Linked DNA regions of Rhinolophus ferrumequinum. The protein of the gene in region 3 purifies or fractionates together with the protein of the main gene of each other region. This does not show direct contact. Links are inferred from orthologs where the notes say so. Each region holds a gene or a part of one and is shown on either strand. Other genes may lie near its edges. The genes, in order: RAB7A, FAM162A and VDAC2.

Region 1 (10,831 bases), on a different chromosome or scaffold from region 3:
GCTGCTGAGCTGCCAGAGGGGCGGCCAGATTGGCTCAGTTGATTAGAACGTGAGCTCTCAACAACAAGGTTGCCTGTTTAATTCCCCCATGGGATGGTGGGCTGCGCCTCCTGCAACTAAAGATTGAAAATGGTGACTGGACTTGGAGCTGAGTTGCGCCCTCCACAACTACATTGAAGGACAACGACATGGAGCTGATGGGCACTGGAGAAACACACTGTTCCCCAATATTCCCCAATAAAATAAAATAAATTACTTAAAAAAAATGGTGACAGGAACTACTAATATTGGTTCTCTATTGATTTAGGGATTTGGTGACATATCCAACAATCAAAGAGTTTGCCTCCTTTAACTGTACTTTGGGATAGCTTTATCAAGACATTATCTTTCTAAGCATAAATGATTATGAAAAGGGATAAGAAGAAAAGGATGCTTGATTTAGTTGTCATTGTAACAGGTGAAAGCATAAATAGTAAAGAAAGTGGGAAAAGCAGGGTAAACTTTTAACAATTAATGGACAAAGAGGAGATCAGGAAGTAAAGAGCTAATGAAGATTATTAAGAGTTTATGAATTTATACCAGGGGTAAAAAAACAGAGATTCCAGGCTACTTCCAGTAGATCTTGAGGGTCTGGGAGCTGTCAGCTAGATAAAAGAGGGTAAAAATAGTAAGGAATAGAGTAAAAGCAGAATTGTTAAAGTTGGGCATTTCTGATAAAGGATTGGGCATTAGGTATCAGTTTCTTTACTCTCAGGATTGTCTAAGACAAAGTTCTTGTCTTAGAGACAACTTTGTCAGGTGTAATCTGGTTTCGGAGATAGGTTTTGAGGTCCAATGTTTGCCTGGAGTCTGAGCCTTCTTTAAATGAGATGAATCTAAGGTCAATGCCTTATAATTTGGCAGCACAAAGATTCGTTAAAAGTACCTGATAAGGTCCTTTCCAATGAGGTTGGAGGGAGTCTTTGTGTTGATGTCTTTTCTAATAGACAAACTCTCCTGGTTATAAATGGAGAAGCTGGTCTTCATCTCCAGGAGTGCACTGTGAAAGGAATCTTGAACAAGGTTGGAGTTATTTTGCAAGGTACTAACTAACTGTTGACAATAATATAAAAGGTCTCCTTTTATAAGAGGTTGTGGATAAAGTCCTTCAGTCAAATATATAGGTCTTCCTGTTACATTTCAAAATGAGAAAATTTATGTTTACCAAGTGGAGTGGAGCAAAGATGAAAAAGAACCAAAAGGTGAGAGCTATGGGTCATGAGAGTCCAAATGCCATGCAAATCTTGGCCAGTTGAGTTTTAATTGTGAGGTTGTGCATCTACCAAACGGGAAGATTAGGGGTGGTGTGCACAATGCAAGTGTTGGTAAATAGGCCAGATTTTGCAAATGACCTAGACAATCTGTGCCATGAAATGAGCTCCTTAATCACTGAATAGTTCTGGAGGGACTCAAGTTGGTATAATCTTTTCTAGCAAGATTTTAGCTTTGGTCATAGTTGTAGCCTGATGACAAGGGAACTTATACAGCAGTTTGTATTTTCAAAAGGCTACGTTTTTTGTTTTTTGTTTTTTAACTTTATGTGGGCAGTGTTTTGGTTAGTTACCGGCTGTTTACATTTCGCAGACATGATAAGAGTCACAACTTTCAGAGACAGAGAAAAACTAAGTATTTTAACATTTATATTATATTATTACATAAACAAATATAATCAAAGGTTCAGTATTATTTATTTGACAATGTTTCCCATGTAACTTACACATACCCAATAATCCTAATTAATTTAATTTCCTCCTTTTATAAAGAGAGGAAACAAATATTTGAGGTATTTCAAGGGTCCTTCTGAAAAACTCCAAAGTTCTTAAAAAATGTTAAGAAAAAGACTATTTTTTGAATCTTCGGAAGCTCATCAAACATATCAGAAGTTCTAAAACATTTGGTCAAATAAGATAATAGGTCATTGTGGAACAATACGTAAATTATCCATATCCATGATGACAAACAATAAAGACTTTGTGGACAAATACAGAAAGTTAAATAGCTGTAAGCAAAATTTAGTTCTTTTAATATTAAGATGACTCAGTTTACTTAACTAAAGACTTGATGATAAAGCGTACAGGAAATCATTTTATTAAAACATTTCTTGTGTTTTTCTTTTGTAATCTCTTATTAAAAGCATACTAATAGCACAGGAATATCTCATTCTTTCAGCAGAGAAATAACATAATGCTTTAGCTTTGCATAAACACATCATTGATACTAAAGCTTAATTAATTTTTTAGCCGTTATAATAATAATTTAAATTTATCCAGCTTATGTATGAGGTAAAATTATCTTTCTTTCCATTCTGAAATAACCAGAACAAAATTATTTCCATTTCCCTTAATGAAAACATATCTCCATATTTTATAGCATTTTTTTAACTGAAAACATGTATCAATTTCTTTCATATTAATTAGAATTCTTAACCCATAGAAATCTTAAGTTTTGTGACAACCAAAAGTAAGCAATCAGCATTCTTTAGATTGGCAAATTTATGAATGCATTTCATAACCTCTAGAAACATATGCTTTTTGGTAAATATATTTTATAATTTTTTAGAATCATGTATTTTCTTAATAGAGTATAAGGCATTTTTTACGAATAGACCCACACATTTTTATTTTTCTGTATTAAGAAGCCCAAAGTAGGTAAACTTAGATTCCCTTAACAATTAATGTTTCAGTGTTTCATCATACTTGGAAATAGATCTAGATATTCAATCATTTTTATCTTTTAATTTATTAATTCCCAAAAAAATATATTTACATTACTCATAAAAATTTTATGAGACATTAAACAGAGCCACTTGTTATAACTATCTTCCTGTTGACAAACCCTATAACAGAGATAATATGAACTTTTTTTATAAACCTAGATAAAAATAAAATATTAGATGTTAATAAATTTAAAGACATGTCTGTTTTCATTAAACTAAACAAGTTAGTTTCAATATTAAATATAGTTTCAGATCATGTGATCCTGAAAAATATGTGGGTTAGTTTCTGTTATGCTTCTTAATCTACATAAGTGCTTAATTTCTTTAAGCCATTTAAACAGAGCTCTTATATAAACTAATTTTAATAATTTCATCAGAGGTAGATATGAGTATACATACACATATATGAGGTCTGACAATTAAGTTTGCGAACTCATCCTAGAAAAAGTGCTACACACCTCATTGCTGAGTATCACTATGGTCACCTTCGAAGTACTCCCCTTGGGAAGCTATGCACTGATGCCAGCGCCTAGTCCACCCTTCAAAGCAATTTTGGAATTCCTTTTTCTGGAATGGCCATTAGAGCTGTCATTGTATTACCCTTGATGTCCTGAATATCATCAAAATATCTTCCTTTCAATATTTCCTTTATCTTCGGGTAAAGATAGAAGTCATTAGGGGCCAGATCAGGTGAGTAGGGAGGGTGTTCCAATACAGTTATTTGTTTACTGGCTGAAAACTCCCTCACAGACAGTGCCGTGTGAGCTGGTACATTGTCGTGATGCAAGAGCCATGAATTGTTGGCAAAAAGTTCAGGTTGTCTAACTTTTACATGCAGACGTTTCAGCACTTCCAAATAGTAAACTTGGTTAACTGTCCAGTTGGTACAAATTAGTAATGAATAATGCCTCTGATATCAAAAAAGTTAGCAACATCATCGCAACAAGTTCGCAAACTTAATTGTCAGACCTCCTGTAGACAGAGACATACAGAGACCTGATAGTTCAATCTAAAAAATTTAGCCATGAGACAGGTTTATAAGGCTAAAGAGAAAAAGCCATTAATTTATAACAGTAGGAATAAGTTAAGTTTATTGATCAGGTGGCTAAGGCTTTAAGATTTTCATCTCTCTTTGATAAACAAGTTTTAAGGAGACTGTGGGCAGGGCAGGGGTCTGCTTGGGAAAGGGAACCTTTCAGCAACTTGTATTTTTAAAAAGAGCTTTCTTTTCCAATTTTTTCTGTCTTTTTTGGGGTTAGTTGAGGCAGCTCAGGGTTGTGTTTACATTTTTGGTTATCTACTTCTACTTCCTATCAGACTTTTACTTAAAATTTCTAGGTATAGAGAGTAATCATCCATCAGGGGAAGTCATGTAGATCGGGCGATAAGGAGGGATATGTGGCAACAGCTGAAGGAGCATTTGATGGGCTTTGAAGAGAAGATGGTTTAAGGAATTTTGAAAGTAAGGGAGGGACGTTGCTTACACACGCCTTATCTTCTAATTTCTGGAGGTATTAAGTTTAGAATTATTTTCTTGGAGGGAGGCAATGGTTTTCTTCTGCTTTTGAGGCCTCAAAATACCAATTAAAGAAAGCCTCTCATTTTCTTTGGCGGTTTTGAAAACCTTGGCATTTGAATTGAGATCTCAAATAAGCTAATTTGGAAATTTCAAAGGTACCCCATTTTGGCCAAAAAATGTTTAAAATTGTCCCGTGTAATTGTTGTCCAGAGATTAAACCATTTCCAGCTATCAGGACGACAAATTTTTTTTAACATAAATCTTGTAGGGTTGCTGGATGGCGGCTAGCCAGCAGAGGTCATTTTAGAACTAGAATTATTTACTATGTGAAGGCGTCCCTACCAGCATAACTTGAGAAGATTTTTATCTAATATTTTACGGGTAACTCAGACTCTTGTGACCCCTATGGGGGCACCTCGTCCCTCTATGAAAAGCCTTATAAAGGGGTCCTTCCCTTAAGAATAAAACTGTCAGAATAAAACTCTCAGATCTCAACCAAAAGCATAGGGGGATGGAGGATTTGAGAGGACTCACCCATGCATGCTTCCCCACAGTGGGGGAAGGCAACTTGAGCTCAAAGAGCTTTGAAGGCAAGCGTAATGTAGTGAGTTCCACAACAAAGGGAGATTAGGGAGCTGCTTCAAATCCCATCTTCATCACCATTCATGTAAACAAAGTCCAGAGATACCTTTTTCCAAATAAATTTAGTTTATTCAGATAATGACTTGTAAACCAGGAAACATAGCTCTTGATGTGAACCAAGAATACATTCCAAAATGGAGGGGATAGGGCAGGGTTTATAAAGGCAAAAGTTGCAAGCTGTTGATCAAAGAAATGGGTTCTAGGGGAAACAAGACCATAAACTTACATATGTTTTCTGATTGATGGGGGCAACTGGACATTCATTCAATGGTTGGCTGACTCAGTGATCAAGTAAGTGGGGTTGTGAGGTGAGAACAATAGGTAATATGTGGTTAATCATTTATCGAGTCCTCGTTTCAGCCCAGGCCTGTAGAACAAAAAGGGTGTCTTTGATCACACATTGTATGGATGAAAAATGCGGTTCTATGAAAAGTAACCTCAAGGGTGATCTGATTATAAATTCCCTGTTGGGCAGGTCATGAGGGGTAGTCATACCCCAGGCCTATATGTTCTTTATTGAAAGGTTTTAAGCCAGCCCTGTCCATTGTTCTTGTGCATCTAGGTTAACACACCTTTTAATGCCAAAAGAATACCCCTTAAAGGGGGTATTAATTCTCAAGAGAGCTTGTAATCTTGTTAACTATCCTGCAATCCAATCCTCAATATGCTTTCTGCAGTCTTCCCTACGTCCCCTCCTTAATTTCAAATGCATAAAAGAAGTTGCAAAAATGTTATTTTCCAGAGCATTTTAGATCTTGCTCCCTGGCATATGTAGTTAGGCTCAAATAAACTTTCATAAAAATTCTCTACAGGTTTGGATATTCTTACGTTGACAATAGTACAGGGAGTATTATTCATCTGATAGCTACAGCAGTACAATCAATTGATACAGGAGTACAATCAAACAATACAATCAACACAAGGGGGCTGTTGGCTCTGCAGGCCCATCTGGAGCCCAGAAGGGCAACGTTATGCCCTGCAAGCAGCTTCAGAGCTCAAGCTGTAAAAATCCAAATATTGCGCCACAAATTATGAAATTAATATTCTTATATTCTTAAATCCTCGCTTTTCTGCAAGAGAAAGTGTTCTGTTAATGTGTAATTCTCCTGTGTCTCTACCACCTTGCTAGATCATTGGTGCAGTCATTTCCAGTTTACTAGAAAGATCAAACACATTGGTATCAGACATATTTGGTTCACATCCCTGCTTTACCGCTTAGTGTGAGCTAGGTCCAAGGTTACCTGTGCTGGGTCTCAGTTCTCTATTTCCAAAATGGTTAAAATAGAGACAATCCAAAGGTGTAGTATGGGTGCACAATAGGTGCTCAGTAAATATGGATGCCCTTCCTCTCCCTCTGTAAATTTGTGAAATAACTACTGCCTTGTCTCCCTGGGAAAACCCCCTTCCTAGAGCAAACTTTGTTGATGCTGAAATGTTCGGCACACAGGCCTACTTGGTTGACTGATCAGTGTCTCCTGGAAAGTGACACTAATGGAAGGTTCAATTTATCCTCTCTTTTCTTCCCCTAGCACTCTTATTCCAGGGGAAAGGGGGATGACTGAAACATCGGTTTTGGGGTTCAACATAGCGCCGTCCTGCTCCTTGCACGAGACTCAAAGATGGCGACAACCTTCCGGGGGCAGACATATTTGTAGCACGTGATCCAGGCTCAGGCCAAAGGAGGCCGAACGTGACGCGGGGTTAAGGCGGGGCTCCTCCCCCGCACCCTTGGCGTGTAGCGACTCGTGACAGGTACTTCCGCTCGGGGTCGCGGCGGTGGCGGAAGTGGGAGCGGAGTCAGATTCTTGGCCGTAAAGCCTGAGGCGGCGGCTGCGGCGGCGTTGGAGGTTTAGAGAGCGCCGAGCAGGCCTTTCAAACCGGAACTTGGACTTCTCTGCGCCTGTCCTCCCTTGCGTCTCCTCGGCGGGAGCCCTTGTGACGCGCCCAGCCCGGAGCCCCCAGCGGAGCGGCAGCGGTAAGCAGCGGGCCCAGCCTGGCGTGTGGCCCAGCCCCATCCCCCTCCTCAGCCCCTCGGTCGCCAGGGCTTCGCGTCATCCCTTTCTTGGGTAGGCTCTGGGCCCAGCCCCGACCTCGCGGGGAATGTCCTTGTTGCTAAGGGCCCAGGAGCAGGCCCGGACCGCTCCTGGCCGGGGAGAGGTCAGAGGTTGCCGAAACCGGCCACCCGGGAAGGTGTCCTGACTTGGGTGGCCGCTGGGCACTGCGGACCCTGTGCTGCGGCGAAAAGAGCTAGCCGGTTGAGTTCGTTCGAGCGGCGAAGTGGAGGATGTCAAAGCCGACCCCCCGGTGCCGTGTCTGGCGGTGGACGCGATCCAGGCGCCACCAACCGCGCGGGCATTGGTAAAAGGCGCCCAGGGCTGAGCCACGTTCCCATCTGTTTCTTCAGTTGAACAGCCTGACCCTGTTAGTGAGAGAGGTTTCCTGACAGCAACTAAATCAAGGCAGTGAGTCAGGTCACGTGCACTGGGCTCGCTTCAAACACTTGTATACATGTGATACGCCTTAGGCTCTGGGAGACGGGGAACTTTTTATCATAAACTTGTTAATGGCAAATGCTGAAAGAAATTTTAAAATTATATTGTGGGAAAGGTGGTGGTTGACTGTAGAGCTGTGTTTGAATTCCAACCGTCTCTTACTCCATACTGATTCCAAAAAGTGGGAAAATCGAGAACAATAATAGCAAACATTTGAGCCTTATTGTATGCTGGACAGCCTGGCAAGACCTTTGCACAAGTTGTTATGTTTAATTCTCAGAACAACCTTCATAAAACTTTAGTACATAGGTGTCCAGCCAGTTGGTTCTTTCCTGTTGAAAATACTGTATTTTCTCTTTAGATTTCAATAGAACAGGCTCTTGTCTCTTCCTTAAGCAACTGATTTAGTCAAATGACTTCTCATCCATGGATCAATAAAATCTATTAGTGTGTTTATCTTTTCAGACTTGGGAGAATTTGTTCAGGTTTAAGTCCAAGAACTGGAAAGTGAGATTGTGAGTACTTCTGAAGACACTGGCCAAAGAGTAAAGCTTAATACTCGCAGCCCTATTATATTCTACTTTTTGTTTTAACTTTGCCACCCAGCTTGTTATATTTAAGTGGGTGATAAGTATGGTAGCTTTAAATAATATTTGGTTTTAGGGGAGAGTAATGATGAGCACCTTTTCATTCATTCATCAAATGTTTTTAGAGTACTGTTCTTCCCCGAAAATAAGACCTAGCCAGACCATCAGCTCTAATGGGTCTTTTGGAGCAAAAATTAATATAAGACCCGGTCTTATTTTAATATAATAATTAATATTAAATTAATATTAATACTAAAATAAGATCGGGTATAATATGTAATACCGAGTCTTATATAATATAATATATAATGCTGGGTCTTGTATTAGTTTTTTTTTTTTTTTTTTTTTTTTGCGTGTTGATTTTTTTTTTTTTTAAATTTATTGGGGTGACAATTGTTATTAAAATTACATAGATTTCAGGTGTGCAATTCTATATCACATCATGTATAAATTACATTGTGTGTTCACCACCCAGTGTATTAGTTTTTACTCCAAAAGAAGCATAAGAGCTGATGGTCCGGCTAGGTCTTATTTTCGGGGAAACACGGTATCAGGCATTGCTGGATATTGACTCAGGGAGAAAGGCATTTTTCCTGTCCTCAAGGAATTTAAAGATGGTGAGTGATCATGGTCTGGAATTGTGTGGTGGAATGGTGGTAGAACTTGAGGCTTTTGGAAAGAGGAGTTGTTTCTCATTTCTCATCCCTGCAAGTGAATCTGCAGTTATCCAGACAGTCTGGTGTTCTGGCTAACTTGAAGGCTTTGTTACTTTTAACAACGTTTATATGGTTTGTTTTTGAAGAGAGTATGGAAAATAATATTACGTTTTGAACTATCATTCTTTTGAAGAGTAACCTTCGACACTAAACTTATTTCTCTTTTTGGTCTGGTGGCATTTTTTGTTCATGCAAGAGGGAGTTCATGTCACTGCCATTTTACACTGCAAATGTTAGCTGTTGCATGCTCTTTGTGCAAAGGTACATTTGGCATGCTGGATTTTTCTTCTTCAGCTGATGAAGAAAGTTTAACGTAGTGCCTATCAGTCATAGTACCAGTATCATCCTAGGTAAAACCTTATGCCATCTATGTGCCACAACTGTTATGGCTCCCTTTCTTTAAAAGGGGATGTGAGTTTGCATTTGTGGTAGAACTGCATGAGTAAACAAACAGAAGGGTGGAGTGTAGCAGAAGGCATTCAAAAAAACAGGTTTTTTAGTATATCCTTCCAGGTACTTGTTAGCAACCACTTGGTACAAATTTTTTTTTTTTTTTTGGGTGCCAACCGGGCATAAGTCCCAGCCTCATAATCAAAGGGCATTGCTTTATAGTCAAGTGTGGCATTGAATCCAGTTCCTGACCCCACAGTCAAGTGCATTAAAAAGGTTTTGGTTATTTGATTAGCTTTTAATAAATCTCCGAAGAGATCTGCACTAATAATATTTTCACCCTTACATTAGACGTTAGCCTTCTGATGCAAAGGTGTAGCAAACCCAGACCACACATCTATGACAGTCATCTTATGTACTGTTCCTCTCTGAAATTTGACATGTTTACCATTATTCCTGGGATAAATTGTCTTCACTCTCCGTCTATATAATTCAACACATATGGCTAAGAAGGATTTGACCAGATATTGGGCTGGGAGTTACAGATGCAAAGTCTTCCATGGAAGTAAAGAGAGGAGTCCTCCTGAGTAAAGCTAAACAGTGGTTCCCCTTGGCACTAACATCATTCTCTGAAGGAGACTGAAGTGCTAGAAATTAACTGCTGCCCCCCACCCCATTTTTGTGGCTGCTGGCTTTCTGTTGACTCTGACTTCCCATGTAAAGTTGGCCATTGTATTCTCAGACATACGTTCCTATGTGTTATCAAACACTTATCTGTTAATGCTATCTAATAGATCTCTATGCTTCTCTGTCTGCAGTTTGCTGCAGCAACATTTTGCAATGTGTCTGTCTCTTCAGTTATTTTCTCTCATATCTTCTATTTTCTGCTTTTTCCTTCCCACATATGGCATTAAACTCAGACAAATAGTTTGTATTTATGTTTTAAAACTTGTTAATGGTGATTGTGGTCAGTGAATCAAAGGTAAAAGTGATGTGGGTGAAATTAGAACAGGCTTTATAGCAGCGTTTCTGACTAGTTTCAATTTTAGTAGTCCAGGCTGTGATTTCAAAAACAAATTTAAGAATAACTACTTGCAAAATGTCTGTGGGGGAGGAAGAAAGCTTGGGTGTTGGTTCCAGTGGTGACATACAGTATTGGCTTTGTTCATTTGCCTGAAGATGCAGTACTTAATGCAGGAGACCTCAAGCCTCTGCCTGGGGCTCTCTGTTCTGTTGATGTCATCACTGCTGGAGAGATCCGTCTGACTGCTTCTGTTTTCCATTTTCTGGTCACCTAGGATTGCTTGCTGTCAGGACAGAGCAAATTTGAGGAAGCATACTATTAAGGGAGGCCTGGGCACCTGAGCAGTGTTAGGAATTCTGTAACCTTGCATGGCTCTCAGATGGGCTTGCTTGTGTGACTGCTGCTGATAAAGTGAAGGAGCATCTTTAGTTTTTCCCTACCCTTTCAAGTAAAGATGGCTTTCTTTTTACTACCGGCTTTCCTGTAGTTACCCAGCTCCGTTTGGGAATCCTTTAAAAATTGTGAAGTAAATAGTTAAAACATTGGTTTCCAATCTTTGTATGCAATTTTAATTAAAACGTTTTATTTCCATTTGACAAAACTTCTAGTTTGAGTTATTTGAGACTGTATGACAAAGTGGCTATGAATTAACTTCTAAAAAACTGAGTTGTAACAACACAGTTTATGAAAAATAGTGCCTTTTACA
Region 2 (10,797 bases), on a different chromosome or scaffold from region 3:
TTGTCACTTACATCATCACCTCACACATAGATTACCGTAGTAGCTTCACAAGTAGCAGCTATTCATGTTGTATGCAGCGGCCATGTTAATTTTCCAAAAATATTTCCTTAATGACTTCTGCTTAAAGGCTTCCTTTTTGTCCAAATTCATCTGGTTCAAAATCCTCAAAAAGCCATACCTATCTCCTAGTACCTTCTGACCAAAATCCAAGGTAATCCTTTCTCCCCCATACCCTCTCCAGACTCATTACTACCCCTACCTTTGCTCATGTAACTTTCCCATCCCTTCTATTTCAATGAAGCCTTCAGTAGATAATCATAACCAACACGGCTTCTCCTTTCTTTGAATTTTTAAAGCCAGTCGTATGCTGGCTGTTGGGAGGGGGCTGGTGGGGAAAAGCCCTGATTTGCAGTGTTTGCCAAACACCGTCACCATGGCAGATTTCAAGCTACCAACGTAACAACACTTTGTAAAACTGGGATGAGATGTGCAATAAAGCCACTAGGAACCAGCTCCAGGACACCACAGCGAAACTCAAAATCTGTTCTGTCATCTAGAACTTAATATAGTCATGTATAAGCTCAGTTGTATTATATAGATATGCTTGTTCACTGAAATAAACTCGAGCCCTAGGAGGAGTGGCAGCCCACTCATTTTAGAGCTTTCATAGTATACAGGGCACAAAGCATGGGCTCAGTAAAAACCTGTTGGCAAGATCTGGAGGGAGAGATAAGCAAAGCCAAAGACTGGAGCAGTAAAAATGGTAGGTACTCATTTAGAGTTGGTTAGCAAGAACAAGCCAAAAGAACAATGAATGTAGTGGCAATAAAATCAGAATGGGAGCCAGCAGATATTGGTTATGGCCCACTGGTGTACGCGTGCGTCCCTTGGCAAGTCAATTTCCTTCTTGGTCCTTAAGTTTCTTCATCTTTAAAATGAGGGACTGGACTACAAGACTTTTAAGGGATTTCTTGACTCCAGTGCTCAGTGATGTGGGTTAAACTGACAAGGAGGCTGCCCATGGTCCATTGCATTGGTATAAAAATAATCATAAATTCATTTTAAAATCTGCTGACGTCAAAGGCATTTAGGACAGTAAAATTTTTCTGAAGGTGTGAAGAAACATTCTTATAAGGCCATTCCATTCCTTTGACCTAATAATTTTTCTGTGTAGTAAGACACAATGTCCTAAGGTTATATCTCTTTTATTCTATACTTTCAGAAAGGAGGTAAGAACACCTACCTTATATTTGAAGCATGTTCAAAGATATTTCCCAGTGTCTCTCTTCCAAAAAATATCTAGTGCCTGTCTACTGTGAGCTGGACACTAAGTGCTGAGGATTTAGTAAAAACACAACAGATCCAGTCTTTACCCTCACGAAACCCACAGAAATGTGGGCCAGTAGCCATTTAGCTCCAAATCATTTTTAACTTAGAGTACAGATTGCTCTGAGTAATGGATATAGGCTATGGATCCTCTTTCCCAAAAACAGGTACATAATCATAAACATTTGAATATAACTGTATCTTATATATATAATAATTTCAGAGGTCCACAGGACCTTTCATCTATGAAGGAGTCCAAGAATTGTAAGTTAACCCTGATCTATATCTACAAAACAAACAAATTCAAGCTCAGAAAAGTCCATTCGCTAAAGGAGTATGCCAAAGATTTCCAACAGAAACAATAAAAAATAAAGGTCCATCATTTAAGGATTAAGCTTTGGCTATTTGAAATTTCACTCACCTAGAGTATCTTATTCCAAATAATATTCTGGATAACTGAGGTATACAGTCATTCCTTGGTATCTTATGGGCACTGCTTCCAGGAGCCCCTTGGAAACCAAAATTCAAGGATGCTCAAGTCCCTTATATAAAATAGTATAGTATTTGCATATAACCTACCCACATCTTCTGGAATGCTTTCAATTACCTGTCAAATACTTTTTAATACCTAATACAATGTAAATGATGTAAATAGCTATTATATTGTTCGGGTAATAATGACAAGGAAAAAAGGGTACATGCTTAGTACCGATGCAACCACCATAGGCCTAACGACACAGTACACATCAGCAACAAGGCAACATTTTTCTGAGTAGTTTTGATCCATGGTTGGTTGAATCTGTGGTTGGTTGAATCCGTGGGTAAGAGGACCAATTGACTATACCTACATTATCTGGTTAAGGCTGCTTGTTAAATCAGTCTTCTTACTTGAAAATCCAATTGCATCTAAATGTGTATTTCCCTTTCACAAGTAAATCTGCATTTCGTGACTCTGTCATTTCACAAGAGAGACACCAAATTAGCCGGGGACAAACACATATACACCCTTGTTGTGAATAAACAGCTTGAACAAAGCAAAGAGCACAAGATCCAGAATTAGAAGGCAGGCTTATCTCCTGACTCTAACACTGTGCAAGTCATTTAATCCTCTGACCTGTTTCTTTACTTGTCAAATGGAGAAGGGATGATAAGATTGACCGAAGAAGGCTTCTGAGAGAAATCAGTCAAGTAAAATAATACATGTCAATGTATTTAGCTATAAAATACAAAAGTGGGCAAAAGTGGGTGAAAGACTGGATTGTTTGGACTTGCTCACAAAACATTCAGATATTCAGGGAAGATCATTTGGAAAGAGCTGCTCATATAACATCTTTAGTGGATCTGTCTGGAGTGAAACTGTTCTTAAATGGCTCATGGAATTTTGAGTGAGTGCCCGACAAAAGTTCTTAAACATCGCAAGTCTGCAGAGAGGCTTTGGAATCTTTATAATGCATAAATACATTCTCAAGGCAAGATGATGAACTACTTATAAACATCCAGTCTTAGCTGCTATGTAGTCAAAGTCACTTTCACTCAGTCTATTTCAGTGTTTTTACAGAGTGATGGTTCTTTCACTTGCCTTGCTGAAAAGCTTTGTAACAGTTAACTGGATGTACAGTAGTCCCACCTTTTCCACAGGGGATACACTACAAGACCCCCAGGGCATGCCTGAAACAATGGATAGTACCAAACCCTATCCTACACATCCTACACCTAAGTACATGTCACGGCTTCTCGTTGGCATATCCGAATTGCCAGCATCATTACCCTGGCGCTTTCGGGCCATTATTAACTAAAATAAGGGTGACTTGAACGCAAACACTGCGGTATCAAAACTGCCAATCTGATAATCAAGACAAGTACTAAGTGACTAACAAGCTAGTAGTGTATACAGTGACGAAATGCTGGCTTGCCTCCTGGGTGAGTTAGAATGGAAAAGTGCAAGATTTCATCATACTACTCAGAACAGCCCCAAACTTAAAATTTATAACTTATGGAATTTTCTATATAATATTTTCAGACCATGATTGACCACAGGTACCTGAAACCAAGGGAAGCGAAACCACTGATTGGGGGGACTAGTGTATACAAAAGATTTTTGGCGAATTAGTTCAACAAAGCTGAACAAATCAATGAAATCAATCTCTTTTAGTGGAGGGGGTATTTGTGCTAAAGGACGTAAATAACATTCTCCAGTTTGAAACCGTTTTTCAGTCCACTCTCCATTGGAAGGCAAAGTAAGCCAGGTATGTAAAGGTAACTTTTTTTTTACATTACTTCATTTATAATGTACATTTACATAATTTCCATAGCCAAGTTTGGGGCCATTCTTCCTTTAAACTTTGAATTAAAGAACTTTTTAGTAATTTGATACCAAGGAATAAGAGATCAATATTATGCCTTATCGAAACTCATAAAGGTGACCAAAGGAGTGACTGGCATTAGTGCCTAGTAAAGAGCCAAGAGGCAAACGCTGACTTCTTAGCTTCTACTAAGCAAGGCTCTGCTGGTACCCCAAGAAAGCAAATTAAGCCCTGACTTCAAATACCCATTATATAAATGTCAACGTCAACTAGGAAAACAAACCACAGATCCTGCATTGACGTAATACTTTCCTCCAAGAAATTCGAAGCACTTAATTGTAGAATTATTTAAAAGAAATATATCCCCCATTTTAAGAAAACAATTATTATTCTGTGAGATCTTAATACCCTTGCCTACTAATCAGACACTAAACAGGTAGAAACTCCAGACTATAGGTTCTCCGCTGAAAGCTGGGATAAACCCTAGAGATGGGGGCGAGGGGAGACTCACGACTCAAGTGGAGTAACGGAGGAGAGAGGTGAGGATGGAAAGCTGCATGAATCCGGCAATGAGCGGGGGGGTGGGGGTAGTTCTAGGGATGGCAGTTACCTTAAGAACTGAGCTCCGAGGAGGCTAGTGATGGAGCAGAGGGAAGGAATGGAGGAACAAGGGGTCAAAAGTTGGTGGGAGCGGGGTGGATGGAGAGCCAGGTGTGAGGGTCACTCTGTCCCAGCCCCCAGTGTTTGCTTAGCAATTGCTCGCTCAACCCTTGCTCACTCCCATTACTGCTACCTTGCGGGTAGGATTCCGAGCAACTTGAGCGGAGTGCGTGATGCCAAGCAACTACCAGGCCCGCAGAGGCTGCAGGATTCCTCGAACCCTAGTGGCCGAGCTGGCTTCCCGCTCCCCCCGCCCCCCGCCGCCCCAAGCAGCACGACCCGCGTCTCACCCGCCGCCAGGCGCAGGCCGCGGAGGCTTCCCATGGCCGCCTACTCCGCCGACCAGTACAGCGCCTCGGGGGCGGCGGTGGCGTGGGTACACTCAAAGTCACTCAGTGCCGCAGCAGGAAGGACAGGGCTGGCGCTGGCGGGCGGGGCGTGTGGGACGTGAGGGCGGAGCGAGAGGGTCGTGCGTGACGCACTGGGCGCGGGGCGTGTGGGACGTGCGTCTCGTGCAGAATACGCGGGCAGTGCCGTCCTGCCCGGTCCTGCCCGGCGCAGCGTTTGGTGTTGGAGTCTGGTGATAAATGGGCCTTTGGAATATTATTATTTGCGTCTACGAAAGTCCCCGTTTAAAATAGAAGAAAAGTAATATGGTCATTGTAAACTTTATGAACTGTAGACGCCCGAAATCACAGGGCCTAGTGGTTAAATCAGTGTTTCAGTACAGTGTTCTTCCAGTGTTTTCAATGAATACGTGCCTTTATCAGAAACGCATAACTGGGGCCTAGTGCCCCAATCCCTGTGGGATTTGGGAGTGTCTCTCAGGCTGAGAAATTAGCATGTGTATTTCCTATTGTTTTCTATTTACCTAGTTTTGTAAAACCAAACATTATTTCCACACATAAACACTTTATTCAACCCTTATCCACCCGCACTGCCAGAAATGTATTTTCTTGCTATTTCTTAGTGGTCCCAAATTCTTAAGGAGCAAAGGCCCCTCTGCTCAAGAGCCAAGAGGTAGATAATGGAGTGGGAGGGTTAAGGAAAACCACATCTACTCTAGGTTTCCTCCTCGTGCGACCTAGTTGGTACAAACAGGAAATTGTTTCTATAAGATGGGATTAGTGTAAGATGATCCATTCAAATTCTGACATTCTTCGATCCATGCATTTGGGTCGGTTCCAGGAAGACATGTTAAAGGGGTAAGGATGGGAAAGAAAAAAAGACAGCAGGGATACAAGTTTCAAAGTGAATGAGGACCACCGAAAAGACAATCCCAGTTCTCAGTTGTCTCGCGGATATATCCCTAGAAATATCTTTTGTCAGGCGGCGCCGCGGACGCCTTTGCTTCTCCGTGATTGGCTCGCGACGGGGCCCTCGAGTTTGTCCAATATGGCGGCGCCCAGTGGCGGTGTGAACTGTGAGGAGTTCGCTGAGTTCCAGGTGATGGGGTTTTCCTCATGGGGCAGGCGTGTTCTTCCTTTTGTCCCTGGACCCTGTTCCCCTCTCTGGCCTAGGAGGGAGTGCGGACCAGTTGTAGGAGAAACGGGCAGTGCAAGGCTTCTTTTTCCAGCCATTGGAGGTCATGAGGGGCGCGGGGTTGGCCTTCGGGAGCCAGGCTGCTCCGTGGGGGTCATGGTTCTCTCTGAGCCGTCCAGGCCTTGAGTAACCGCAAGGGAAACTCAGGGTGGTTGCGCGGTAGTGAAGACGAACTCGGCCAGGTTGGTAGGGATTGTAACAATTCTTTAGCTATCCCCCGAACTCAGCCTTTCCCATTCCCCTGCTATTTTAACTTGAGCATTTGTGGAGAGAAGAAAGTGAAGGAGAACTTATTTGCTTGATAAAACAAAATAACTCGGTACAAGTTTTACTATTTTGATAGGGCAGAACGTTTGGAGTCTTGGAGGGGAGATTAATTCTAGTACCAGCTCCCGCGCTGCTGCCTTAGTAACCATTAGAGAAAATGTAACATTTAAGAAAAAGGCTGGTATCTTTTATATATTCAAACATCAGAAGTCTAGGGTTAAATGTTAACCCATGAATTAAAGAACAGGGTCTGGATTTTGACCAAGTTGCTGTGAAAGTTGTATGTACCATTGTAAGCATCAATGTACTGCTGTCTAGATAGAGTTGAATTAAAAAAATCACGACCTTACAAATGTATTTTTAACGTTACTGAAAAATCATTTCACGTGTCATTGACCTATCTATAGTAAGCTTTGTGCCTTGAGCCTTTGTAGGGAGTAGTATTCTTGAAGATAACCTCAACAGACTAAATTCTTTGACAAACATCATTTGGCCAAAGAAGTTTATGTGGGGTCATTATTTGCACCCTCCTCACCACTTAAGCTACTTCTCAGACTAGCTCAGCACAAAACCTGACTTCAAATGTGATCAAAGTGCCCAACAAATACAAATAGTAATCTTAAATAGGATAAAAAGACTGTTGAATTCTAAAGTATATGGAATATTTAAGGTTTACTGGCCCCTTCGTGGCCTTGGTCTTGCCACATTAGTACTATGGTTTAATTTGAATTAATAAATTCAGATAATTGAACAATGATAGCTTTAAAGTTTATCGTAAAAAGGGTTAGGGAGTTAGATTTTCTGGGTTCTAGTACTGCTGCCATTAACAGCTTTGGGACCTTGAGCTAATCACTTAACCCCTTTGGGAATTAACTTTTGAATATGTGAAATAAGGTTGTGTTAAATAACACGTAAAACTGTTTCCATTTCTATAATTTGAATCTCTAAACCCGAATTTTAAGGATCTCTTTTTCCTGTTAAAACATCCAGCAGTACTTAAAGAACACTGATTTTTCTTTTGGAAGGTCAGATAAAATAAGTGGGGCAAAAGCTAAGCCGTCTTGCAGAACCATTCCATTCACAAAGATAACATAAATAAAAAGATCATAAAATAAGTATCATTAGTAAAGGTGAGGGAAGTTTTCAGATTTTTTCTCTAGAACTTTTCCAAATAGAACTTCATTTATAATGGAGAGTATCCTGGGTTAAAAGTCAGAAGATCTGGTTTTCCAGAGCTGGCCTTGGCACATCATTTAACCTCATTGTAAATGAGAATAACATTTGTCCCTCTTGCCTCAGAGGCACATAAGAATATAAGAGATGTTGCTGTAAAACTAAGATTTTAGTATAACATTTAGATTTAGATGAATTTGGTAAAATTGTAAAACATGGTTAACTGGCATACTCACAAATTAGTAAGCAAAGTTTAATTTTTTTTAAGCTATGAAACCATTACATTTTCTGTGTAAGTACCCTAAATGTGAAAAGCACTTCACTGAATACTGTGGAAGAGAAACAAGAAGTCACATTTTTTTATTATAAAGATTAGACGTATTTCAGAGTTTCATTATGAAAATATTCAAACGCTACAGAAAAGTTGAAAAATTGTATGAACACTCATGTACCTACCATCTAGATTCTATAATTAGTGATTTGCTGTATTTACTCTATCACATATCCATCTCTATCCACAATCCACCTTTTAATTTTTTTTGATGGAATGCCAAAGTAGGTTGCAAACATCAATATACTTCATTCCTAAACATGTCTTTCAACATGCATATCATTAACTAGAGTCAAATATTTGTTTCTTTCTGTAAAATTTGCATTAGTGAAATACACAAATCTTAAGTGTACGGTTCAGTGAGTTCTGAGATTTACGTACACCTGTAGTGCAAACCTCCATCAACAGAGAGAATAATATCATCATCTCTGAAAGTCTCTTCATGCCCCTTCCCAGTTGGTCCCTGCCCCATCCTTCCTCCTCCCCTCTGGCAACTAGTGTTCTGATTTTTTTCCATGCAGGTGCATGTTTTAAAATTTAATAGTTTTTAAAGTGTTTTAAAGTTTTACAATTCTTATTTTTCTATTATAAAAGTCATACGTAGCATGCCTGGAAAATATTCCTATTTCCAAAATGAAATAAAATACAGACAATAATGTTTAAAACTGAACATTTTAACATTCAGCAAGAATTTATGAGATATTGTATTAGTCTGGTGGGGCTGCCATAACAAATACCACAGCTGGGTGGCTTAAAAAATAGAAATTTATTTTTTCACCGTTTTGGAATCTAGAAGTCCAAGATTAAGGTCCTGTCAGGGTTGGTTTCTGGTGAGCCTCTCTTCCTGGTTTACAGATTGCTGCCTTCTCACGGTGTCCCCACATGGCTGCTTTATGCATGTAGGAGAGAGATCTTTGGTGTCTCTTCCTCTTACAAGGACACCAGTCCTGTGGGATTAGGACCCTGTCCATCGACCTCATTTAACCTTAATTATCTCCCTAGAGGCCCTATTTCCAAATACAGACACACAGGCATTTTGCAAGGACACAGTGCAGTCCATAACAGATACTGCTAGGTTCCAGGCACTTGGGAAGACCTAGTGGACTGGATATTAAACAAGGAACTTAATGTAAGTAGAGACATAAAACATATAGAAAATATTGAGAATGTATATGAATAAAATACTATAACGGTTCAGAGAAATAAGAGATGGTAATTGAGATGGGCCTTAGGTGGACAGGATCAAGAGTATTTGTAAGTAGGAAAAACAGTATATAAGGCAGAAACTTTTATGTATTTGGTGGAAATAGCTAATCAGTATTGCTGGAATTCAGGGTTTGCTCAGGGGCACATTGAGATTACATAAAAGATTGGAACCAGATTGTGGAGGCCTTGGATGCCAAGTGTGAGGTTAGGGAGTCATTTTTGAGCAGAGGGGATGAGAAGAGCAAATAGGGGCTTTAGGGAGGATTCATCACTTCTACCACTGTCTTTGTTCAGGCTTTGTCATTTTTGCAACTAGCTTTGTGATAGGTCTCCTCATTTTCAGTCATTCCTTTTTCTAATACATACCCTTGCCCCTTCAGTCCAATCTCCATAATATTGTGGCTTTATACTGCTAAGCTTCTAAATTTTAGAATCTGAACCATGCATCTAATTTTATGCTTACATGACTAGATCTAAACTACTTAACATGTCGTACAATCCCAAACTGCCTCTGTCTAGTTGTATCTCTTAACCACTGGTCTATTCATGCGTGTTTCTCTCCCCCCAACCCTCCGCCTCCTCCAACGTACTTTTGATCTCTGTTGTCCAGCCACGTAAGGCCTACTGTTCTCTGAACACATTATGTTCTTTGTTATTTCCATGCTTTTTTATTACTTGTGGCTACCCTGAAATCTCTTCTTCCTGACCCTGTCTGAGATCCATATATCACCTGAACAAAATCAACTAAGTATTCCCTCCCAGAATGTTTTAAGTCTTTGTATTACTGTTAGGAACATTTATTCATTTATACACAGTTGATTTTGAGGTATATGGTAATTAGGTACAGACTAAATAAACTATTTTCTAGCATCAGAGATGGTTCCTTTTGCAAGATGACCAGCTGCTCTCTGTCCTTGTGCTTGAGGGTACTGGGTGTCAGAAGACTGGCAGTTGCAGGCAAATCTGTGTCTCTGGCTTGTGGAGAACACAGTGTAAGCACTGCTATAAAAATTGGGTTTGAGGAACCAGGTCTGTCTAAAAAGAGCATCGTGGGATCTACTGGGTATCTTCAGGCAGAGGGTGAGGAGAGGAAAGGTTAAATTCCAGGTTAGTTTTTGGAGTACATTTGCATTTTACTGTCCTGTATGTAATAGACCTTTTCCCAGCCCACTGCCCCCATCTACCCTAAAAACTGCCTCAAATAGTGAAAGGAATTTACCTGAGGATTAACCTAAGGGATAGACTATAATATAATTGTAGGGGCAATAAAAATTTTTCTCTACTCCTCCCTACTACTAAATGTGAGCACTGCTTCAGTACTGAAATTGCCTTCCAAGAGGATGAGATTTTCACCCCACAATTACAGGTAAGACAAAATGCAATTCCAGGATAAGTACCTGAATAATGGTAAAAGGTCAGCCTAAAATGAGGTATTCATGATATGTCAGAATCTCTTCTTGTTTTGAGGAAGACGCAAGGTAGGAGAAGCTGGAAGCACGACAAAATTTGCAGAGTTCTCTTTTGCTGTGCTGTGGCATTTAGAAGATGATTAGCGTTCCAGGTCCTACACTGAGATGTAGCCTTCAGCGAGCTACTGAAGCGTGTGTCTTCTGTTATCTCCGTAGACTTGTGTTGCCATTTATTGTGTATGATCTGCTCAGGGGCATCTTCTGTATATTTTCTTGGTGAATTTGTGAGAGAGAGGTTATGCCTTTGGGGCTAGGGATCAGGCAGATAGTAATTCCTTATGAACGAGACACTATTTAACAGCAGCTCTTTTGCGCCTGCATTTAAATTAACCTTCCAAATGCTGTCCTTTTGTGAGGACCGGCCAGGCTCTTTTCTAGACCTCTTGGAGTTGCCTTAAGAGCTCCGGGGCTTTTTCCATTGTAAAGAAATATGTACTTAGCGAGGGCGTTTATAGTTCTTTTCCTGCTCCCTTTCCAATTTTGAAAGAAACTCATTCCTGCATCTTATCCCCTTCTTTCC
Region 3 (10,230 bases):
CTCAGTTTCTTTGATTATAATAACAAAACCTATCTCTAGAGGATTAAACTGGACTGACACTGTGAAAGCTTTGCACATATTCATGCGCTCTACACAAAAGGCAGGCATTATTAAAACAATACATACGGAACATGTTCTTCTAGCAGGTAGTTTCAATAGGGAATGTGTCTGAGTCGCTATTTTAACTCCTGAGTGACACTGACTAATGATTCTTGAGGCCCCACCCACTGCCATCAATAGACCCACAGATTGACAGCCAGCCAAAGAATCCTCAAGACACAAAACCAAGATGGTCACACTGTGGGACCAAAACTGGGCCAGATAACACCACTGGCAGAGCTTACACCCTTCACTCCATTAGCAGACCTTTAGGCTTCCATGTTCTGGGGTGGACTGGACATCTCTGCAGTTCAGATGAGAATACAGCCAGCCATTAATGAGACTTATTTGGGGCCAGGTACATATTACATCATCAGTACCATGCTTGTTGAACTACATACATTAAATGGAAACGAAAATATACTGCATCTAACCCACTTCCTATACATCCATCATCTTAAACCTAATTTCATAAAACTTTCCTTAACCCTGTCCACAATAAGCCCTTCATTTCCAACAATGATTTTGATTTATCAAACAACCTAGTATTTGATATATTTCTCTAATTTTCCCCAGTTTAAAATTTATTTTCTCTCTCCAACCATCAAATAAGTTTTTAAAACACAGGACTGAGTCTTTTACTTTTTTTTTTAAAAGGCCTTTTGTGTTTCAAAAATACACAGCAAGTGTTTATAAGGTGCCTCAGTAGGTTATAAGCAGAAATACAAAAAATAAACATGAAGTCACTACTCTGAAACCTGTTACATTAAGCAAATAAGTCACTCAACCACCTGAACAATCAGGCGTCCTTTTCAGATCAAATAAACCAAATGACACTCAGGACAAACGTAAAACCCAAGAAATCCAAGTCTAGGCGTTAAAAACTATAACACAATTAATTTTAATACCAGATACGTGCACTAAGGGAATCAACTACAGCAAGAATTTATCAAAATAACTAATAATATTCAATATGCACACACTATACCCATCACCGTAACAATCTCAAAACAAACATTTTAGAGGAAGAAATTATACAAAACTAAATTTTACTTTACTCCCTGCAAGGGAGGAGTTTGTGAGGAGGAATCAAGACATCAAATACCAAAATATTAACCTCTTTAAAAACACTCAAATCAGGATTCTGTAAATTCACAAAATACATGGGGAAATCTTCCCCAAGAAGGGCTACTAGAATATAACCATTATATAAACGATTAGTACACTCAAATTAAGAGTTACTGAATATTTTTATGCCCAGAACTCTTAATGCTTTTAATAGGCGTTAAAAGAAAGGGTTATGAAAAAGTGTAACAGGTTCCCTGCCTTCAAGCCTGTAATCTTACTGAATAAACAGTCTCACATGACCAGTGTCCTTCCTGAGTTACTTGTGCATACACAGTAAGTAATATGGCAAAAGACAACATGAAAAAACAACCAAAGCCAAAATAAATCAAGTTACACGCAAATCCCTTAAAATAAAATTAACTTCTGCCTCTTAAGACAAATTGGGTAGACATCTTTCAGTTATGACTATTTTATGGGTAGAAAATTACATAAAGGCTCATCAGAACTTATTAGATAGCTAATACTCACCACACCACTGCATGACTTTGTTTTCACATCCAGTTTCACCAACCCAAAACCTTAAAGTGGAGAGTAAATGATAACAAAATGATTCTTTTGTACAAAAATGCATATCAGTAGTAGACTATACGTTAAAAAAAAAAACACAGAAAAACCCAAGGTTTCCCCTTTTTTGGAGGGGGAAGATAAAAAGGTTGATACACAATAGTTAAATGAAAAATTTTTAATTATCCTATGTAAACTGACATGTAATGGAGAGAACATCTCTATGCAGTTTGCCTAGTGTTTTGGTGTATTATTTGGCACGGCCCCCCCCAAAAAAAGCTTTCAAACAACTTTAAAACCTAAACATCAGATTGGAGAACTAATTCAGCTTAAATCTCAGAATAGCCAATAGTTTATTATAATAGACATTTAGAACATTTATCCCAAAGGTTCCTATCTCCCCTTTGGATTAATAATCTAAGTAACTGGAGAAATAATCTGAAGTGGAAGGGGGTGGACCAAAATATTCAAGAAGAAAACCCAAGTTCACTTGACAAGCCCATAATCCGTTAAGAGGCACCACCACAAAAGTAAAACATACATACATAATCATAGGAATAGTTCTAATTAATCAAGGTCTAAACTACAACTGAAGGAAATGAAAGCACAGCTGCTTTTTCTTAAAGGTAAAATCCTTGAACTATAGTTTGAAAAAACTGGAGGAAATTGAAGTGGAGGGGGATGTGGACTGTTACAGAACTATTTTAATAGACATTTTATCTAAAATGTATCCAATAAAAGAATTAATGCAACAAGATATTTACAATTTGAAGAAATTATTAACTTAATTTCCTTAAGCAATCCAAATACATATTTTCACTTCTGATCTAAAGTTTAAAAAGAGAAGTTCTTACCGAATCCTTTGTTGAAAATATCTCTGGCAGCTTTGCCAAGGTCAGCATATGATGGAGGAATACACATTGCTGGTAGAAAGAAACATTCCAATGTTAATGTTTCCTGTTCTCCCACTTGCTGTCCAAGAACTGGATTATGACCTGCTGCTCTCTTTAAATTCTAGCAGTCCAACTTGTTGGAGATGTGTTTTGATACCACCAGAAGCAACAATAAAACTGTACTCTAACAATCCATGGAAGACATACCACAGACAGTCTTGTTTCTAAAATGCGTAACCACAATAAGTGGCTAGACAAACTGGGGAAATTCCTTCCAAAATTGAAAAACAGACTTCTATTCCTAAATTTACTCAGTGCCTATAGCCTCACCTGTTAGGATTGGACTAGTACCAAAAAAAAAAATCAAACACATACACATCTATCTAGATGCATCTGCCAAAATCACTGGAACGAGATTTAACCAAATGAGATAAAAATCAAAACCTAAGGCAAGCCCTTCTCCCCCAATATATACTTTAATATCCTCACTGAGGTCAAAACCTACATTCTGGAGTGGGAAGAGAACTGTATATAATACTTCGGGAATTTAAATATTGGAACATAGAAATAACACGGCCATGTATGTTTCACTCAAGTGCCTACATCAACTAAATATCAAATGGCACTTTAAACATATTAACATGATACTCAAGTCCTTAGTCAATACCGTGCGGTTTAAAGGCAAGCAATCTAAGCTCCTCACACACAAGCTCATTCATTCTACAAAGTGAGTCCACGCCCTTAGGAGCACGTGTAATGACCTTGCGCTAGTACATGGGGGTTTACTACTTCCTCAAAAAAGAGTCTGATCCAACCCCTCCAAAGACCGAATCCAACAATCAGCAACTTTTTGCTTCTGAGTTCCTCACACACGTCCAAAAGCTAAAGGTGAATGCGGCCACAGACCAACTTTCCCGGCCTAGTCCCTTCATCCGATATCCAGCAGCCCAGCTCCTCCTCCGCAGAGCCAGGCGGTCAAGACGGTGGAGTGTCTACCGAAAAGGACCAATTTCCAAGTCCTCGGAGACATGGGGGGGAAACAAGTTGCGGTTTTCTGGGGGACCGGCTCCGACTCCCCGGACAACACCGCCCCATCCCGCAGAGATGCCTGCTCCAGACTTACGCCGCGCGCAGCTCTGTCCGTAAGTCGCCATGGCGAGGCCGCGGAAATGGGTGATCTGCGGAAGGGACAAGAAGTGCGGTCAGCGAGAGTAAGAAGCGGGTCAAGGGGCCATAAGAATGTCTCAGACAAGAGATGGGCGAGGGGCCGCGGGGCAGCGCGGCCATCTTAGGGAGCCAGGGCCGACCCCGAGTCGGGCTCAGGCCTCCTGCTGGACGGCCGAGGCCTAGGTCCCCAGGTCGGAGCGAGACGGGCGCGGCGGTACCTAGTGGTCTCCTGAGAGGGGCCGCCGCCGCCGTTCCGCTCGCAGCTAAGGCCGCTCGGCTCGCGGTGGGTCGGGCTGCAGCTGCCGGGGCTGGAGGGCGAAGTGAAGGAGACACCGTTCCGCCCGCCGCAACCCTGCCCTCCCCCCGCCAGGACCCCGCCGCTGTCCCCGGGGCTGTCCACCGCGCCTGTCCCCGCAGGGCCGCCGGCTGCCCACTCCAACCTGCTCCGGAACGGCCACGGGGGCCGAGGAAACCCCTGTCCCCAGGGTGGGCCGCCTCGGTCCGTCGGCTGGAGCCAGAAAGGCAGAAGCTGCCGGCCCTCTGGTCAGGCAGCTACGAGGGCAGCCCCCGCGGCGATGGGGCGGGGAACGGCGGATGGTACACGGAGGGGACCGCGAGGGCGGGGGATGGGGCGGAGGCTCCACGCGCGCTCGTCACGGGCGGGGCGGAGCGCGAGGCGCGTGCCCGCGTGGGGCGCGGCGGCACACGCCGGAGGTCACGTACAGCTCCCCAGTTCCCTTTCCTGGCTGTTCCCAAGCCCTGCACACCATCCGTGGTGTAGGGCGTCTGAAAGGAGTCAGCTGAGCTTTGTGCCCGGTTTCCCTGAGCACGTGCAGCGTGTGCTTCTGAAACAGTCTCTTTAGAGTCGGATAAAGGAGTGAGCACAGGGGCACCACGGCCAGCCATTCGCCGCCTCCCACCCCCCTCCGCTTCCTACGGCGGTGTAATTGCCGTGCAGGGCGGCTGTCGGGTTCTCTGCCCCGCGGGGGACAGACTGGAGCACGTCTCGGGGTGCCCCGCCCCTTTTCCTTGCTCTCGCCTGAGGCTTCCTCTTCTGCCGCCTCCTCCCGGCTTAGGGGTGGGGCTGCTTTACACAGGCACCGAACCGTAGCCATGTGGGTGAGGCAAGCCTGCTAGAAAACTTAGGAATCATGCTGACCAGGCAGGAGAACGCTGTCCTCAAGCTCCCTGGGTGTGCAGGACAGTGAGGGAGCCAAGAGAACAAGAAAAAAGGAGCCGTCTAGAGAGAGAGAAATGGGGTCAATTGAGGCTCCAGAATCAATCGCCAATCTCAGCAATTTATCCCTTCTACCCCGTTTGTTTTCTCGTCTATAAAATGACGTTTAAATGAGATGAAGTGGTCTTTAATAGCCATTCAGCCATAGACTAGGAAAGCTTTTTTCCCCCTGATTTCCTCTGATTCTAAAAGCCAAGGTTCCACCCTCCTCCTAAACCAGGAAAAGTATAGTAGCAAGATAGACTTCCACAATCCAAGCCCAGATTATAGCTGCCATGGTGGATTTACCTTCCATGAGCAAACCCAGACAGCAATCTTGCCTGGTCATGGTAGGGGTTGGCTGTGCATGTAAAGGGTTATAAGAAGAATAGAGAGAGCCTTTGCGCCTAAGAGTTCAGGCACCAGAAAATTAATTCCATCATTCAATCTCAAACAGGTTGGTCTGAAATCAGCCTAGTTCCACTGGGAGCCGGTCTGCTCTGGCTACGTTTGATGCAATTGTGAGGCTCGTGGCAGAAACTGACATCCCATCCCAAATGGCAGCATGACACACCACCTCCCAGGAAAACCGAGTCTTTGCTCAGTCACCTCCAGTACCTACAGTAGGGCGTATTCACATTGTGAACTACAGTAGTTCCCCCCATCCATGGTTTTGGTTTTTTTGGTTTCAGTTATCTGTGCTCAACCGCGGTCCAAAAATATTAAATGGAGAATCCCAGAAATAAACATAAGTTTTAAACTGTGTGCTGATCTGAGTAGCGTGATGAAATCTTGCTCCCTGTCTCATTCCCTCCCACCCTGGATGTGAATCAGCCCTTTGTCCTTCTAGCCATCTTGGTTATCAGATCCACTGTCACCGTATAGCAGTGCTTGTATTCAAGTAACCCTTATATTACTTAATAATGGCCCCAAAGCACGAGAGTCGTGATGCTGGCAACTTGGATACGCCAAAGAGAAGCTGTAAAGTATGTGTATGTATAGGAAAAAAACAGAATATTTAGGGTTCAGTACTACCTGCAATTTCAGGCATCGAGTGGGGGTATTGGAATATATCTCCTGTGGATAAGGGGTGTGGACAAAAAGGGGTTATAAATGAAAGTAACCTCACAGAGGGATCTGATCATAAATTCCTAACAGGGCAGGTCCTGGTAGGTAATCACATTCCAGGCATATAACTTCCCTGGTAAAAGAATTATCTTTGCCTTAAACAAGTCCTGTCCATTGTTCTTGTGCATCTAGGTTAACACACCTTTGAAATGCCAGAAGTAATAACCCTCAAGAGAAGTAACCAACCTCAAGAGAGCACATCTTGTAAACTGTCCTGTAATTCAATCCCCACCTTGCTTCCTCTCACCTTCATGTAATCTTCTTTAAATTCCATCCTTAATTTCAAATGCATAAAAGAAATGCAAAACTGTTATTCTCTAGACCATTTGAGATCTTGCTTCCCTGAAATTGTTATCAGTTTTCACCTAAATAAACAAATAAAAATACAGGTTTGGATGTTCTTACATCAACAGTGGGGACTCCTGTATCTGTAGCATTTTTAGTCCCCAGAGAATTTCACTTTGCCACAGAACACTGATCTGAGGCTTCACCCATTACGCATCCAAGGAATGTACATGGGGTTTGTACATGTACATGGGGCATGTAATGGGGTTTGGTTATATCTAATAACCAGAAGATTCATAGTAATTTATTTCAAAGTTGGATTCAGTAAATATACGAGTACTTACATCCAAAGCCCTTTGGACCAAAGCAGCATCACTTTGTGTCACCCACAGGGGTAGCGGAGCCCATTCAGATGCAGCTCCTGCTCTCAAGGCACTTAGAGTCAAGTGTGTGCAGAGGTGTTAAGAACTGTGAGGTGTCCAAGATTTTACCCTACTTGCAAGATAGCAAGTTAGCGTGCCATGGTTTCATAGGTTCATAGATTCTGGCAGAAGACATGAAACTCGAAGGTCAGAGACAAAGGACTTTATTACTTGGGGTACAGCAGACAGCATAAGCTTCGTGTACAAATCAGCTCTCCTTGCCCTGTGTGTTCCACAAGGATGATGGAGACCACCCTGGGTAGAAGCTGTGCACAACATGTGTTTGTGTCACAGCTAAGGAATCCTGAGTTTAGAAAACTCCCTGTCTTATAAGGAGCTGCTAACAAATCTGTCCATCCTTTGCCCCGAGAGAGACCATAGTATACTTCTCAGGAAATAAAATCTGCCCTCTGCCTTCTAAAGGGAGACACTACCTCTAGGTCCTAAGGATGTTTGGGTAGCAAACATCCTTGTAAAGATAGTTTCAGGTCAGACCTGTTCCACGACCTGTAGAAACACCAACGAGGATTGTCCCGCGACAAAGGATGGGAATTCAGGGGTTGCAAGTACAATGCTCAATGTAAGCACAGAAAATTGTGGGCACAGTCAGACTGAGAAAACACATGCACTAAAGTTTGAAAGTAGGACTTATCAAAATGAAAAAGCCATTAGGCCAAGGATGGAAAAGCAAAATTCTAGAAAGAGTCATGTGCAAAGCCATACTGGGGTTTGAAGAGGCAACAATCCTTTGGAAACCACAAATAATTAAGTAGAGCTGGGAAAACGTATAGAAAACGTTGAGAGATTAGTTTAAAGATGTTGACAGGAGTCAAATGCTGAAGGTCCTGAAAGTAGCTAGTGAGGAGGAGGCATCCAGGGTGGCTAGGAACAACATTTCTAACTTGAGGAACTAGGAGGACAAAGATTCCACTGGGTGTGGAAAGGGCTACAGGAGGAGGGACAGGTGTGCGAGTGAAGAGGATGAATCACTTTCAGATAAGAATGAGGAGCCCGGGGCCACATCTACACAGAGTTGTCCCATAGGCAGTTATGAAGCCTCGGAGAAAGGTCTGGGTGGGAGACACTGGCATGAAAACTTTAGTTTTAATTATGATTAACCATGGGTGTGATGAAAGTCAATGAGAGATGGGGAAGGAAAATAAATAGTAGAAGCCTTAGGAGCATTGGTGTTGCAGGGGCAAGCATCAGAGGAGCTAATGAAGAAAACTGGCAGACTCTCCAGGAGGCTAAAAGAAAACTCGGGAGGGAGTACTTTCCTGGAAGCCAAGGGGAGAGCCCTGGATAGAGGAGGGAGTGATCAACAGTGTCACATCCTGAGAAGCAGTCAACTGAGGTAAAGTATTCATTACTTTATTAATACAGAGTATCAATTACTATTACTCAATAGCTTAAAACAACAAATGCCTTATCTCACCGTGTCTGTGGGTCAAAAATTAGGGAATGGCTTAGCTGGGAGGTTCTGGCTCAGGGCCTCCCTGGGGCTGTAGTCTTCTGAAGGGTTGGCTGTGCTCAAGGATCTGCTCCCAAGACGGCTTCCTCATGTGGCTCTAGGCAAGAGGCTCAGTTCCTCCCCACAGGACCTCTCCATAGGGCTACTTGAGTGTCTTCATGACATGGCAGCCGGCCTCTCGCAGACCAGGTGATCAGAGAGAGAGACTGAAGTCACAATGTCTCCCGTTCCAGCCTCAGAAATCACACTGTCATTTCTGCCTTATTCTGTTTGTTAGGAGTGAGATACTAAGACCAGCCTACACTCCAGGGGAGAGGAATTAGGCTCCACCTTTGAAAGGAGTGTCAAAGAATTTGTGGGTATATTTTACTCGTAAATCACCACAGGCGATGCTCTGGTCACATTATTTATATTTCTCCTACACAGAAAATACACTAACTCCCTCCCAAAACCTCCAGCCTTTATAGCATCAGCAAGTGGCGCGTCAGGAGTAGTTCCTTAAATGCAGCAACTCCCGTACAACTCCTCTTGATCTGAAGACCTATGAACTAAAGAGACAAACTGTCTGCCCCACACATACACACATCCAGCACACACAGGGTTAGCGGTGCAGGATAACTGCTAAAGACACCCCTGGTCAGAGGGGGGTGGGGGGGGAACAGGACTTACTTGGGGGTCCACAGCAGTCCTGTAATCTAGCCAGACCAAATTTGAAGGTTCCTTTATGAGGACTCAGTCCTATTCCTGTCTGTACCAGATGAGGTCACATGGGAGAGCCAGCCCTAGATACACATCCCTTCTCTTCCTGTCCCAGACTGTCCCACAGCGTGAAGGGTACAGCCAGCCCACATATCTAAGCACCCTCCCCCACCACTCACATGGGCTCCTTGACCACCCATGGGCTTAGGGATGTGTCACTGGCAGTTCAATCCATGCTCAGGAGAAAAGGCTCTGGGGAAGAAGTCCATGCAGCCCCAGAAGCAGGCTCAGGACGCTTCAACAGGGAACACAGATCTTCTGTATCCAGAGTTTGGTCCAGAAATGGAGAGGGTGGGCATGGGCTTTGGTGGGCATGTTCCCTAGGCCCTGCAGGCTCCTCACCCCATAGGAATAAGCACAATCTGAGAAGAGTTAGAGTCGAGCCCTCTAAATTATGAGGCGCAGAGGCCTGCCCTGGGCCTCTCTTGCCCAGGTCTAAGGGCAATACTGGGACTAGGGCCTGGGAATCAATTGAAGCAAACATTGAGATGAAATGAGAAAGTGAGACAGGGGACCAAGAGCTGTGGTTGTGGCTAGAATGTGGGGTGCTGGGATGTGAGATTCCGCAATGGAGCATTCTGGGTGGTGAGGAGCCATGGAAGGGTGGAATGGAAGTGAAGTTCACTGGAGTGGAGGTGGCCAAGAACAATGGGTGAGGCCAGGTTGTTGGAGCTGTTTGCCTGTCACCCCCTTCCCACGCGCCCCCATCTAATGCACCAGGGTGGGACAGGCACAGGTTGTTGCCAGGGATACTGAAGTCACCAGGATGTGGAGGATAAGAGGTAGAGAGGAAAACTGTGAGTCAGGTGCCGAAGTCCTCAGGGAACACAGGAGTAACCCGGAAGCTGGTCATAAAGGATGACAACTGATGGCAGATGGGAGGACTGATAGCATGAACATCAAAGCAGGTGGTTTTATAGGAGGGCGGAGAAATAAAGTGGCCATGCTTCCCATCCCCAGGTGCAGCCCGAGGGTGGGGAAGGGTTTGGAAGAATGAGCAGTCTTCCCTGGGATCCAGTATCCACGGGAAAAGGGAGTTTTGTGCTAAGGAGAGTGAAAGTATTCAGTGGTGACGCTGAAGACTTAGGGCAGTTTGTTTACAATAGAACAAGGTTCTAGAAGGCACCGTGGGATGGGGTGGCAGAGAGAGCAGCAGTG

The links.
Region 1: the proteins of VDAC2 (region 3) and RAB7A purify together in Homo sapiens (affinity purification with mass spectrometry; 3 studies listed by BioGRID and IntAct, with this or other methods). This does not show direct contact. The link is inferred for Rhinolophus ferrumequinum from reciprocal best matches to the Homo sapiens genes VDAC2 and RAB7A.
Region 2: the proteins of VDAC2 (region 3) and FAM162A fractionate together in Homo sapiens (co-fractionation; 3 studies listed by BioGRID and IntAct, with this or other methods). This does not show direct contact. The link is inferred for Rhinolophus ferrumequinum from reciprocal best matches to the Homo sapiens genes VDAC2 and FAM162A.

Annotation. Positions count from the first base shown.
Region 1 is NC_046302.1:579,011-589,841, reverse strand, and holds the start of RAB7A (ras-related protein Rab-7a), read left to right. Parts: upstream 1-6,666; 5' UTR 6,667-6,891; intron 6,892-10,831.
Region 2 is NC_046285.1:47,179,333-47,190,129, reverse strand, and holds the start of FAM162A (protein FAM162A), read right to left. Parts: upstream 4,737-10,797; 5' UTR 4,614-4,736; coding exon 4,580-4,613; intron 1-4,579. Other genes in the region: protein MIX23, read left to right, coding at 5,685-5,735. UniProt on the Homo sapiens protein: Proposed to be involved in regulation of apoptosis; the exact mechanism may differ between cell types/tissues.
Region 3 is NC_046299.1:52,267,286-52,277,515, reverse strand, and holds the start of VDAC2 (voltage-dependent anion-selective channel protein 2), read right to left. Parts: upstream 4,344-10,230; 5' UTR 4,232-4,343; intron 4,100-4,231; 5' UTR 4,010-4,099; intron 3,803-4,009; 5' UTR 3,779-3,802; coding exon 3,748-3,778; intron 2,655-3,747; coding exon 2,586-2,654; intron 1,746-2,585; coding exon 1,696-1,745; intron 1-1,695. UniProt on the Homo sapiens protein: Non-selective voltage-gated ion channel that mediates the transport of anions and cations through the mitochondrion outer membrane and plasma membrane.